Linked DNA regions of Saccharomyces cerevisiae S288C. Changing the gene in region 1 together with any one later gene gives a genetic interaction. Each region holds a gene or a part of one and is shown in the gene's direction. Other genes may lie near its edges. The genes, in order: DNF3 and ATG15.

Evidence for each region.
Region 2: mutations in DNF3 (region 1) and ATG15 together harm fitness more than expected from each alone (negative genetic interaction), as found in Saccharomyces cerevisiae (2 studies listed by BioGRID).

The regions. Positions count from the first base shown.
Region 1 is NC_001145.3:578,406-586,034, reverse strand, and holds DNF3 (aminophospholipid-translocating P4-type ATPase DNF3), read left to right. Parts: upstream 1-2,113; coding exon 2,114-7,084; downstream 7,085-7,629. Other genes in the region: INP2 (Inp2p), read left to right, coding at 1-1,764. UniProt on the Saccharomyces cerevisiae protein: Catalytic component of a P4-ATPase flippase complex which catalyzes the hydrolysis of ATP coupled to the transport of phosphatidylcholine and small amounts of phosphatidylethanolamine from the lumen to the cytosolic leaflet of the trans-Golgi network and ensures the maintenance of asymmetric distribution of phospholipids.
Region 2 is NC_001135.5:235,269-239,370, forward strand, and holds ATG15 (triglyceride lipase ATG15), read left to right. Parts: upstream 1-1,945; coding exon 1,946-3,508; downstream 3,509-4,102. Other genes in the region: GTPase-activating protein SED4, read right to left, coding at 1-1,054; peptidylprolyl isomerase family protein CPR4, read left to right, coding at 3,787-4,102. UniProt on the Saccharomyces cerevisiae protein: Lipase which is essential for lysis of subvacuolar cytoplasm to vacuole targeted bodies and intravacuolar autophagic bodies. Involved in the lysis of intravacuolar multivesicular body (MVB) vesicles.

The DNA.
Region 1 (7,629 bases):
GAATTTCGGTATTCAATCATTACTTCTCATTTTTTGAATGATATGAATCATTACAGGTTATCACTACATCTTGATCAATCTATTATGAACTTTCATAAAAGCTCAACTTTGTTAAAGAATGTACCTCCCAAATCTGTACCATTTATGGCGACAAAATATGGTAAATTGGCGGTAGCAGAGGACAAAAAATTATATTTCAGACAAAATTTCAACTACCTTTCGATGATTATAACCTCTTATCGAGTACTTACACAGTTGAAAAAATACTGTAGAAAAAAAAATAGTCCAGGTCTGAAGAGAGTTGTAATTTTAATACTCGTAGCAGTGTATTTATCAATTCAGCAAGAATACTTTCGAAGACATTTGATTTGCTATAAAACCTTATTAAAGGTACGGAAAGTGCTCGAATCATTACAACAAGTGGATGTAATGATTCATAAATATCATCTTCGATTTAAAGAAATAAAAAATCATAGTTTTATATCAAGAGTGTCTCTTATTTCAATTGCTGACGAGCACTCATCTGTGATAAAAGAGCTCCTAGTATTCTCAAGTGATGCACTGTTTTATAAACTCAAATCAATCATTCCAGATATTGTCATCTTTAGCGATACAAGTGAGCTATCGAAATACTGTGAATTATACGGTATCGATGTACCAAATCTTTACTATAATAATACTACCACAGTAAAAGACCTTGATGGTAAGCTTTATCGTCTCAAACTGCTAAAGAAATTTATGCTCTGTTGTTTGCTGTCTTTAGATATGACAGGAAACGAAAATCTTTCAAATGTAAACATGAGAAACGCACTAAACAAAATCTTTCCAGATTACATGGCAAGGGTGCAACTCAAAAAAAAATATAATCCAATAGGTACATTCCAAAATATAGTTAGTCTATTAAGAGGATTACATTCACTACTCTCCACTGTCCTGGTGTCTTTGAATGACCATAAGCAAATATTGTATGCATTTCCTGAAGAAACATCAACTAATACTGGTTGTGAAAGAGCAAATGTATGTTCATTTTCAAAGAATGATAAATTGTTTCAGGCACTTAATTACTTAAAAATGATCGAGAACAATCTATTAGCTATTGACATTCGAAATGGCATAACAGAGAATGATAGGAACATCATTGAGGATAAGTTGGAGGAGCTCATTACTTTCTGGAAAACCTCGAAAATTTGTGGCAATATTTCTAGGATACAAAAGGTATCCCCAACCAATACAATCAACCATGGTTTCCATCTGGATATCCTCAAAGGCAGAAAGTCACCCCGTTCTTCGTCAGTACAAGGTCTTAGCTTAGAGAGGAAAGTTGACTTCATTGATGTTGCTGAATCGGTGAATGACTCTTTTGAAAACGACACCGAACTAGAGGAATATGAAGACTACGACTGTCAGGAGGAATGTTCTGCCGGTTCACGCCAAAATCACCGCGTAGATTTTATCGGAAAGGATAGTTGTAGGAAACCAGATTTCAAGCAACTTTCTGACAACGAATTACGACGCAAGTTAGATGAAAGAATTTTGAAATTGGCTCAAGAAAACCGTGAAGGCAGGGAAAGGCTAAGAACTGCAAAGTCCTTTGAATTGCTAAGAAAAGCTCAGGCTTCCATGTCCGTAAAGTTTGGCTTTCAAAAACCATTAAGAGACGATGCCTTTCTTGAGAGCAGGCCTCTCAGCAAATGCAAAGTATCTTCGGAAGAAACTATCCCATTTTTGTATGAATTAAAAGGATTACTAGGAAATGATTCATGATAATATATTTTAATATGTACTTTGAAATAACTAATTACACTTTAATCATATTTTCTAAATAAGCAAATGACGGGCTGCGCAGCCGGGTTATTTTCGACCCCAGTCTGTCAAGTGCTTTAAGTAAGCGAATATTTAACAAAGAAGAATTCAATATTGCAGGAAGTCTTGAGAAAAGATCAAGTGCCAAATTACCCCATTGCTTTTGGACTATTCATTCACTCTTTTCTTTTTTGTTATTTCTTTTATTTGACCTTTATCGTTATATACACATAGCTTCCATACAGCAAATAAACATCCTAATTGAAGTAGATAATTTAATTCCATTCTTTATTAAAAAGAAAAAAATATTATGGGCATAGCTGATGGGCAAAGAAGAAGATCTTCATCACTACGAACGCAGATGTTCAACAAGCATTTGTATGATAAATATCGCGGAAGAACTGATGATGAGATAGAGTTAGAAGATATAAATGAGAGTAAGACGTTCTCCGGTAGCGATAATAACGATAAAGATGACAGAGATGAAACAAGCGGCAATTATGCTGCTGAAGAGGATTATGAAATGGAAGAGTATGGTAGTCCTGATGTGTCATATAGCATTATCACTAAAATACTTGATACTATCCTAGATCGAAGGAGGACGTTCCATTCGAAAGACGGTAGACATATTCCGATTATATTAGATCATAATGCAATTGAATACAAACAAGCTGCTACTAAAAGGGATGGTCATTTGATAGACGAAAGGTTCAACAAGCCTTACTGCGACAACCGAATAACTTCATCAAGATATACATTCTATTCCTTTTTGCCTAGACAGTTGTATGCACAATTTTCAAAGTTAGCCAATACTTATTTTTTCATTGTCGCAGTATTACAAATGATACCTGGATGGTCTACAACTGGTACTTATACAACTATTATCCCCTTATGTGTATTTATGGGTATATCCATGACAAGAGAGGCTTGGGACGATTTCAGGAGACATCGTTTAGATAAGGAAGAGAACAATAAACCAGTGGGAGTGTTGGTTAAAGATGGAAATAATGACGCACAAGAAGTTTATACACTACCAAGTAGTGTTGTCTCATCCACTGCATATCTAACTAAATCGGCCGCTGCTGAAAATAATCCACCTTTAAACGATGATCGGAACTCCTCTCAAGGACACTTCTTAGACACGCACTTCAATAACTTTGAACTACTCAAGAATAAATACAATGTTCATATTCATCAAAAGAAGTGGGAAAAACTTCGTGTTGGAGACTTCGTACTTCTCACACAAGATGATTGGGTACCTGCAGATCTGCTTTTATTGACATGTGACGGCGAAAATAGCGAATGTTTCGTTGAAACGATGGCTTTAGATGGCGAAACAAATTTGAAAAGTAAACAACCCCATCCAGAATTAAATAAGTTAACCAAAGCCGCATCAGGTCTTGCAAATATTAATGCTCAAGTTACCGTGGAAGATCCCAATATTGATTTATATAATTTTGAAGGTAATCTTGAATTGAAAAACCATCGCAATGATACCATAATGAAATACCCTCTAGGTCCTGATAATGTCATTTATCGTGGTAGTATTTTGAGGAATACTCAAAATGTTGTTGGTATGGTCATTTTCAGTGGTGAGGAAACAAAAATCAGAATGAATGCTTTAAAAAACCCAAGAACGAAAGCCCCTAAGCTACAAAGGAAGATAAATATGATTATCGTGTTTATGGTGTTTGTCGTTGCCACAATATCTTTATTTTCTTATCTTGGCCATGTTTTGCATAAGAAAAAATATATCGACCAGAACAAAGCATGGTATCTATTTCAGGCAGATGCTGGCGTAGCACCCACAATAATGTCTTTTATCATCATGTATAACACTGTGATTCCTTTGTCCCTATATGTAACAATGGAAATTATCAAGGTAGTCCAAAGTAAAATGATGGAATGGGACATAGACATGTACCATGCAGAAACGAACACGCCATGCGAATCGAGAACTGCCACCATTCTGGAGGAATTGGGGCAAGTATCTTATATTTTTAGTGATAAAACCGGAACGCTGACGGATAATAAGATGATATTTCGGAAATTTTCTTTATGTGGATCATCTTGGCTGCATAATGTAGATCTCGGTAATTCTGAGGATAACTTTGAAGACAACAGAGACAATACGAACTCCTTGAGACTACCACCAAAAGCTCACAACGGCTCTAGTATAGACGTTGTTTCCATTGGAGATCAAAATGTTCTTGATCGGTTAGGATTTTCGGACGCACCAATTGAAAAAGGGCATCGTCCATCTTTGGACAACTTTCCTAAATCTAGGAATTCTATTGAATATAAGGGAAATTCATCAGCAATTTATACAGGCCGTCCCAGTATGAGATCACTTTTTGGGAAAGATAATTCACATCTAAGTAAACAAGCTTCGGTTATTTCACCCTCCGAGACATTTTCGGAGAACATTAAAAGTTCGTTTGATTTAATTCAGTTTATTCAAAGATATCCGACCGCCCTGTTTTCTCAAAAGGCTAAATTTTTCTTCTTATCATTAGCTCTTTGTCATAGCTGTCTTCCCAAAAAAACTCATAACGAATCAATAGGAGAAGACTCCATAGAGTATCAGTCTTCATCTCCAGATGAATTAGCACTAGTAACCGCTGCTAGAGACCTTGGTTATATTGTATTGAATAGAAATGCACAGATTTTGACCATTAAAACTTTTCCAGACGGTTTTGACGGTGAAGCAAAATTGGAAAATTATGAAATTTTGAACTATATTGACTTCAATTCTCAAAGAAAGAGAATGTCTGTTCTTGTACGTATGCCAAATCAACCAAATCAAGTTCTTTTAATTTGCAAAGGTGCTGATAACGTTATTATGGAGCGTTTACATGATCGCGAATTGGCTGCCAAAAAAATGGCAGACATATGCACCAGTACCAAAGAACGTAAAGACGCAGAAGCAGAGCTGGTTCTCCAGCAAAGAAAGTCTCTGGAAAGAATGGTAGATGAAGAGGCTATGGCCAGGACCTCATTGAGAAATTCTTTGTCTAGCGTACCGAGAGCAAGTTTATCATTGCAGGCAGTGAGAAAAAGTCTTTCAATGAAGAACAGCAGGACCCGTGATCCAGAGAAACAAATTGACTCCATTGATCAATTTCTAGAAACGGTCAAGAAATCTGATCAGGAGATTGGCAGCGTTGTAAATAAAAGCAGGAAGTCACTCCATAAGCAACAAATAGAAAAATATGGGCCGCGAATTTCGATAGATGGAACACATTTTCCGAACAACAATGTCCCAATAGACACAAGAAAAGAAGGACTACAGCATGATTACGATACAGAAATTTTGGAGCACATTGGAAGCGATGAGTTAATTTTGAATGAAGAGTATGTTATTGAAAGAACTTTGCAAGCCATCGATGAGTTTTCGACTGAAGGCTTAAGAACTCTGGTCTATGCTTACAAATGGATCGATATTGGGCAGTATGAAAATTGGAATAAACGCTATCACCAAGCCAAAACCTCCCTTACTGATAGAAAAATCAAAGTCGATGAGGCAGGTGCAGAAATCGAGGATGGTTTAAATCTGTTAGGGGTAACTGCAATCGAAGACAAGTTACAAGACGGCGTTTCAGAAGCTATAGAAAAGATCAGAAGAGCCGGTATAAAAATGTGGATGCTAACAGGGGATAAAAGGGAAACGGCTATAAATATAGGGTATTCGTGTATGTTAATCAAAGATTATTCTACGGTAGTCATTTTAACTACTACTGATGAAAATATTATATCAAAGATGAATGCGGTTTCTCAAGAAGTTGATTCCGGAAACATAGCACACTGCGTTGTTGTAATTGACGGTGCCACGATGGCCATGTTTGAAGGAAATCCTACATACATGTCTGTATTTGTTGAGCTTTGCACTAAAACAGACTCGGTAATATGTTGCCGTGCTTCACCTTCTCAAAAAGCCCTTATGGTTTCCAACATAAGAAATACCGATCCAAACTTAGTCACGTTGGCAATAGGTGATGGTGCGAATGATATTGCCATGATACAATCTGCCGATATAGGTGTTGGAATAGCCGGTAAGGAGGGATTGCAAGCATCTAGAGTATCTGATTATTCTATTGGCCAATTTCGGTTTCTCTTGAAATTGTTATTTGTTCATGGGCGTTATAACTATATTCGCACCTCCAAGTTTATGCTTTGCACGTTTTACAAAGAAATTACGTTTTACTTTACGCAGTTGATATATCAAAGATATACAATGTTTTCAGGCTCCTCTCTATATGAGCCATGGTCATTGTCCATGTTCAATACTCTATTCACATCACTACCGGTTCTATGTATTGGTATGTTTGAGAAAGACTTGAAACCAATGACTCTACTAACAGTCCCTGAATTATATTCGTACGGGCGCCTTTCACAAGGTTTTAATTGGTTAATATTCATGGAGTGGGTTATCTTGGCAACTACGAATTCTCTTATCATTACATTTTTAAATGTTGTAATGTGGGGTATGAGTTCTCTTTCAGATAACACTATGTATCCTCTAGGTCTCATCAATTTCACAGCCATTGTTGCCTTAATTAACGTTAAATCCCAATTTGTTGAAATGCACAATAGGAATTGGCTGGCTTTTACTTCTGTAGTTCTATCCTGTGGAGGTTGGTTAGTGTGGTGTTGTGCCCTTCCTATTTTGAATAATACTGACCAAATATATGATGTAGCATATGGCTTTTACAATCATTTTGGTAAAGACATTACATTCTGGTGTACTAGCTTGGTGTTGGCACTGTTACCTATCACTTTAGATATAGTTTACAAAACATTCAAAGTTATGATATGGCCATCAGATTCTGATATTTTTGCTGAGCTGGAACAAAAAAGTGATATCAGAAAGAAGCTGGAACTAGGAGCCTATAGCGAAATGAGGCAAGGATGGACGTGGGATAAAGATCCCAGTACTTTCACAAGGTACACAGACAAAGTTCTTTCAAGGCCAAGAACTAATTCACGTGCAAGTGCAAAAACTCATAACAGCAGCATATATTCAATGTCAAATGGGAATGTAGACCATTCCTCAAAAAAAAATTTCTTTGGAAACTCTTCTAAAAAGAGCTCTGAACGATACGAGGTATTACCTAGTGGCAAGTTAATCAAGCGACCATCCTTGAAAACACAAAGCAGTAAAGACAGTATTGGCGGCAATATAACTACTAAACTGACGAAGAAACTGAAGCTTCCATCGAGGAATGTGGAAGATGAAGATGTGAACCAGATTATTCAGGCAAGGCTAAAGGATCTGGAGTAATTCTCGTGATCTTGTTTAATTACATTATTGAGAACATTTTTATATATATACCTTTTATTGGAAATTAGTAGCGAGCTTAGAAGACTTACTTGATTTGTTGAGTCGAATATTATTTCGGCATCCACACATTAGAAAATTAACAAGATGTATTTTGAGAGAAAGCAAGGCACAACGCATGGGAAATCTTCACAAATTTTAAATACTATCTATAAACTAACTCTAATTATAAAAGTGGCTTGATTACTTTCGGTGTCAAAAGAAAAAGTAAATGTATGGCGTAAATGCTATGATTAGTTATCAGAAAATAAAGATGTTTATAAGTATTATACTGTCTGATTTAATTTCCTCGATATATTAAAATTCTAATACCATTATGTCCTTCTGGTAAACTGTGGAACAAAATAAAACATAGCCAGGAAGCCTGAAGGAATGACCTAAATGTCATCTAGTATACAAATGCGTTTTTTCAATTTTGCTTGCTCCTTGTAGTTTTATTTTATAGTACAACTTTGACTAACGTTGGAAAATAATAAAAAAATGACAGT
Region 2 (4,102 bases), on another chromosome or scaffold:
CAAAATTCAAGAAAAATTTCCAAATATTTCGTAAAATTGATGACGATGTACCGGAAAGCTTCAGAACGTTGATCGTGTTCCCCATAGAAGTGCTTGCCAAATATCTAGAATCTGGAGAAAAAGTAACTTTTGTTATAGTAGATTCATGTACTCTTGGAACCAACTGAACAAGCTTTAGCTTTTCAACGCTGACGATGGCAACCAAGTTATCGTTAGATGATAATGCAACGAACTTCTTATTTGGGGAGACATCCATCGATGTTATTCCATTCAAATCGAACATGAAGGATGCTGTTTTTAAAATTTTAACACCTTTGGAACTCACACCTAGTTTTAACAAGGAAACTCCATCAGAGTTCGATAATGATGCTGCCACTAATAGCGTATTGTCATTGAGAAACCTGATATTAGAAAGAACAAGATTTTTATCAAAATCCGTTTTCCTTGCTACAAAATTTCCGTCCCTAACAGACGCTACTTCCAAAGAATTAGAAGTGATATATGACAAAAGAATACCGTTAGGGGCGAAGTGCAAATCATTAACTTCCCTACCCGTTTCAATTTCGTAATTTTCCGTCAAATTACGCGGGTCAATGATTCTTATCACAGTGGGCACTTCAGAGGACGCAATTGCAGCTACTGTGGCCCTTTGATTAATGTAAACAAACTTAGTGAAAACGGATGGGTCTGTAGTTCTGTTGAAATCAATACTGGCCACGAATTTTAGATGTTCTTGTTCAAACACAAACTTCCTCAAGTGGTGGTTAACGTTCTCCATGGAGGAATCATTAAACAGTTCATTGCAACCAACTAGAATCAGGTTATTATTACAATCCAATGAAGTGGGCGCATCGTCAATCGAATCTAATGTGATCTCACGAAACCTTCTAATGTGTTTCTTTTTCTGGAAGTTCACCTTTAAAGCTGTAATTTTGTTTGGAAACGAGGAATTGAACTGGCCTCCACCACCAGCCACCAGTAGAGTGCCTTCATTTATAAATTTAGCACCATATATCGGATATCCGACGTCATAGTTTGCAGAGTTGCCACTCATTATTATGCTAGTTTTTCTAAGTTTAAAAGGAGAGAAAAAAAAGGAAGAGAGGACGTATCGTAGGGAATTGTGATGCTTGTTGACAAACAGCCTCCGTCGATCGAAGCAGCTATAAGCGTAGGTTACTTGAAGCGTTCACAGTTCTCATTTACACTGTACAATTCTCGAGATATAAATGAAAATTACTACAACCAAGAAAAAAGGACAGGAGGGCTAAAAGGATAATAAAATAGGGCAGTTACAAATGTGGTCAAAAATACTAGGGCTCAAAATTGCTAAGTAAGGGCTTGACAGATGTAACATAATACGAAATAAACTGGATATCGTTTAATAATTATCAAGGTGATTTAAATCGTAAATACATAGGCTGGGCCATATACACTAACATGTGTCGTGACCAATGTGCAGCAGATAGACTTGCTCATTAAATATATTCCAGGTAGGATTCTCTAAGGGTTTTTTTTTTTCTCTATAGCTGTCACTTTTTTTTTTTTCTCTTATCAATCACAGATATAATAAGCATAACATCGGAAAGAAAATAATGATAGGGCAAAAGGGAAAGCATTTCCAGTTGAATACAGTATCTCTACTATATTGTTGTTCGCTGAAGACAGCCGTTTCCGGAAAAAAGTGATTGTGTGATCGCAGTTACCCGCACCTTTGTTCAACAGTACATAATAAGAATCTGTAGATATAGATGAACTTTCTCTATTACATAAGACTAGCCTAAAAGCCTTGTTTCTATCATTTAAAGGCTTTTGAGACACTCAAATCAGTGTCAACCTTTTGGATAAGTCAAAGAAAGTACGCCGCTGCTCAGAAAATTGTTATCGTGATTGAGAACTGATCTAGGCATTACAATTAAAGGAAACAAGGGAAATATTCTATTGAATGTTGCATAAAAGCCCTTCAAGAAAGAGATTTGCTTCTCCTTTGCATCTAGGATGCATTCTAACGCTTACAGTGCTCTGCCTTATTGCTTACTACTTTGCTTTACCGGATTATTTATCGGTAGGGAAGAGCTCATCCAGGGGTGCCATGGATCAAAAATCTGATGGAACCTTTAGACTTAAGTCTATCTACAGGCATGGCGTCGGAGCAAACCATCGGCTACACCAGAGGCTGGAGGTCACTCCAGAAGTTATTTCTGCCGCTGGAATGCTGTATCAAGAAACCACAACTCAAGGACAGGATTTCGAAGACCAAGAACCCCTATGGACTACTAATGCCGAATATGCCACCACTAACCCATTCGATTTTGAGTTTGAGCTACGAAGGATGCCGCTATTGATGAAGCGGATGAAGGAAAGAGATCCTGAATTCATAGAGTCGTACATTTACGGAGAAACATACATGACGGAGGAGGAAGAACACGCCATGTGGATAGATGATGACATTGTGGCACCCAATATCACAGATAGAGGTACAGTAGTGTCGTTAGCATTAATGTCGTCTAATGCTTACGTGAGAATACCGCAAACGGGAGACTGGCGTAACGTCACGGAGCCGTGGAATGAAACAGAGCCGGAAGATTTTGGTTGGGATGGTGATGGTATACGTGGTCACGTCTTTTACAATGAAGTGGAGAATATCGTGGTACTCTCGATAAAGGGAACCAGCGCTCAGGGTTTGCCAGGGTCTGGCGAAGATGAGACAACTGGAAACGACAAGATCAACGATAATTTGTTATTTTCGTGTTGTTGTGCAAGAGTGAGCTACCTGTGGACTACCGTGTGCGATTGCTATGTGAAGTCGTATATATGCGATGAGTCTTGCCTGGAAAAGGAACTGAGACGTAAGGATAGATTTTACTCTGCAGTCGTTGACATATACAAAGGCGTCCTCAAAGAATACCCCGATGCGGCCATATGGGTCACAGGCCACTCACTGGGAGGCGCATTGGCCAGTTTACTGGGCCGCACTTTTGGATTGCCTGCGGTCGCATTCGAGTCCCCTGGAGAGCTACTACCTTCAAAAAGACTTCACTTACCATTCCCACCGGGACTTCCCTCATACATGGAGGGTATCTGGCACTTCGGTCACAACGCAGACCCAATCTTCATGGGTACATGCAACGGAGCTAGTTCAAGTTGCTCACTGGTGGGCTACGCTATGGAAACCGCGTGCCACACTGGTAGAGTCTGTGTCTACGATGTGGTCAACGACAAGGGCTGGAGTGTAAACATGTTCAACCACAGAATCCACAAAGTCATTGACGAAGTTCTCCTTGGATACGAGCAGGCTGCCAAGTGCGTTGAACCAGAGCCCTGCGTAGATTGCTACAACTGGAAGTTTATTCCAAGCAGAGACTGGGAATCCTCATCGAGGCTCATTACCAAGACTAAAAGCCACGCTGCACCAACCACGACGACTCGCACCACTGCTACTACTACCTCTTCATCTACCTGTGTAGGCCGCAATTGGCTTGGCTTCTGCACCAAATACGAGTTGTAAGACCCATACATCTATTATGACCCTAGTGTTGTTTTAGGGCCTATGCGCCCTTTTTTTCTTCCATTGTCTGATAAATAATGTATCATTTTGACAACTTAAAGGTTCAGCTAAACGACACGAGAAGATATATTAATACTGCTTTAAAGTGAAAGGCGTCAGTCAGGTGCAATTAATAGGTCACATATTCTTTGCTTCAATTGCTCTCTAGCAAACTCACACACTCGTAGATTGGAAGACCGAAGAAAATAGATAGACTTTCGAATAAGTTCAGCAACAACATGTGGTTGAAATCCTTGCTGCTCTGCCTGTACTCCTTAGTACTCTGCCAAGTCCACGCTGCACCTTCATCAGGGAAGCAGATTACCTCCAAGGATGTTGATCTTCAGAAAAAATATGAGCCCAGTCCCCCCGCCACACATCGTGGAATAATCACTATCGAATACTTTGATCCCGTTTCGAAGTCGATGAAAGAGGCGGATCTGACTTTTGAGTTGTACGGTACTGTCGTGCCCAAAACTGTGAACAACTTTGCTATGCTGGCCCATGGTGTTAAGGCAGTTATCGAAGGGAAAGATCCCAATGATATACATACTT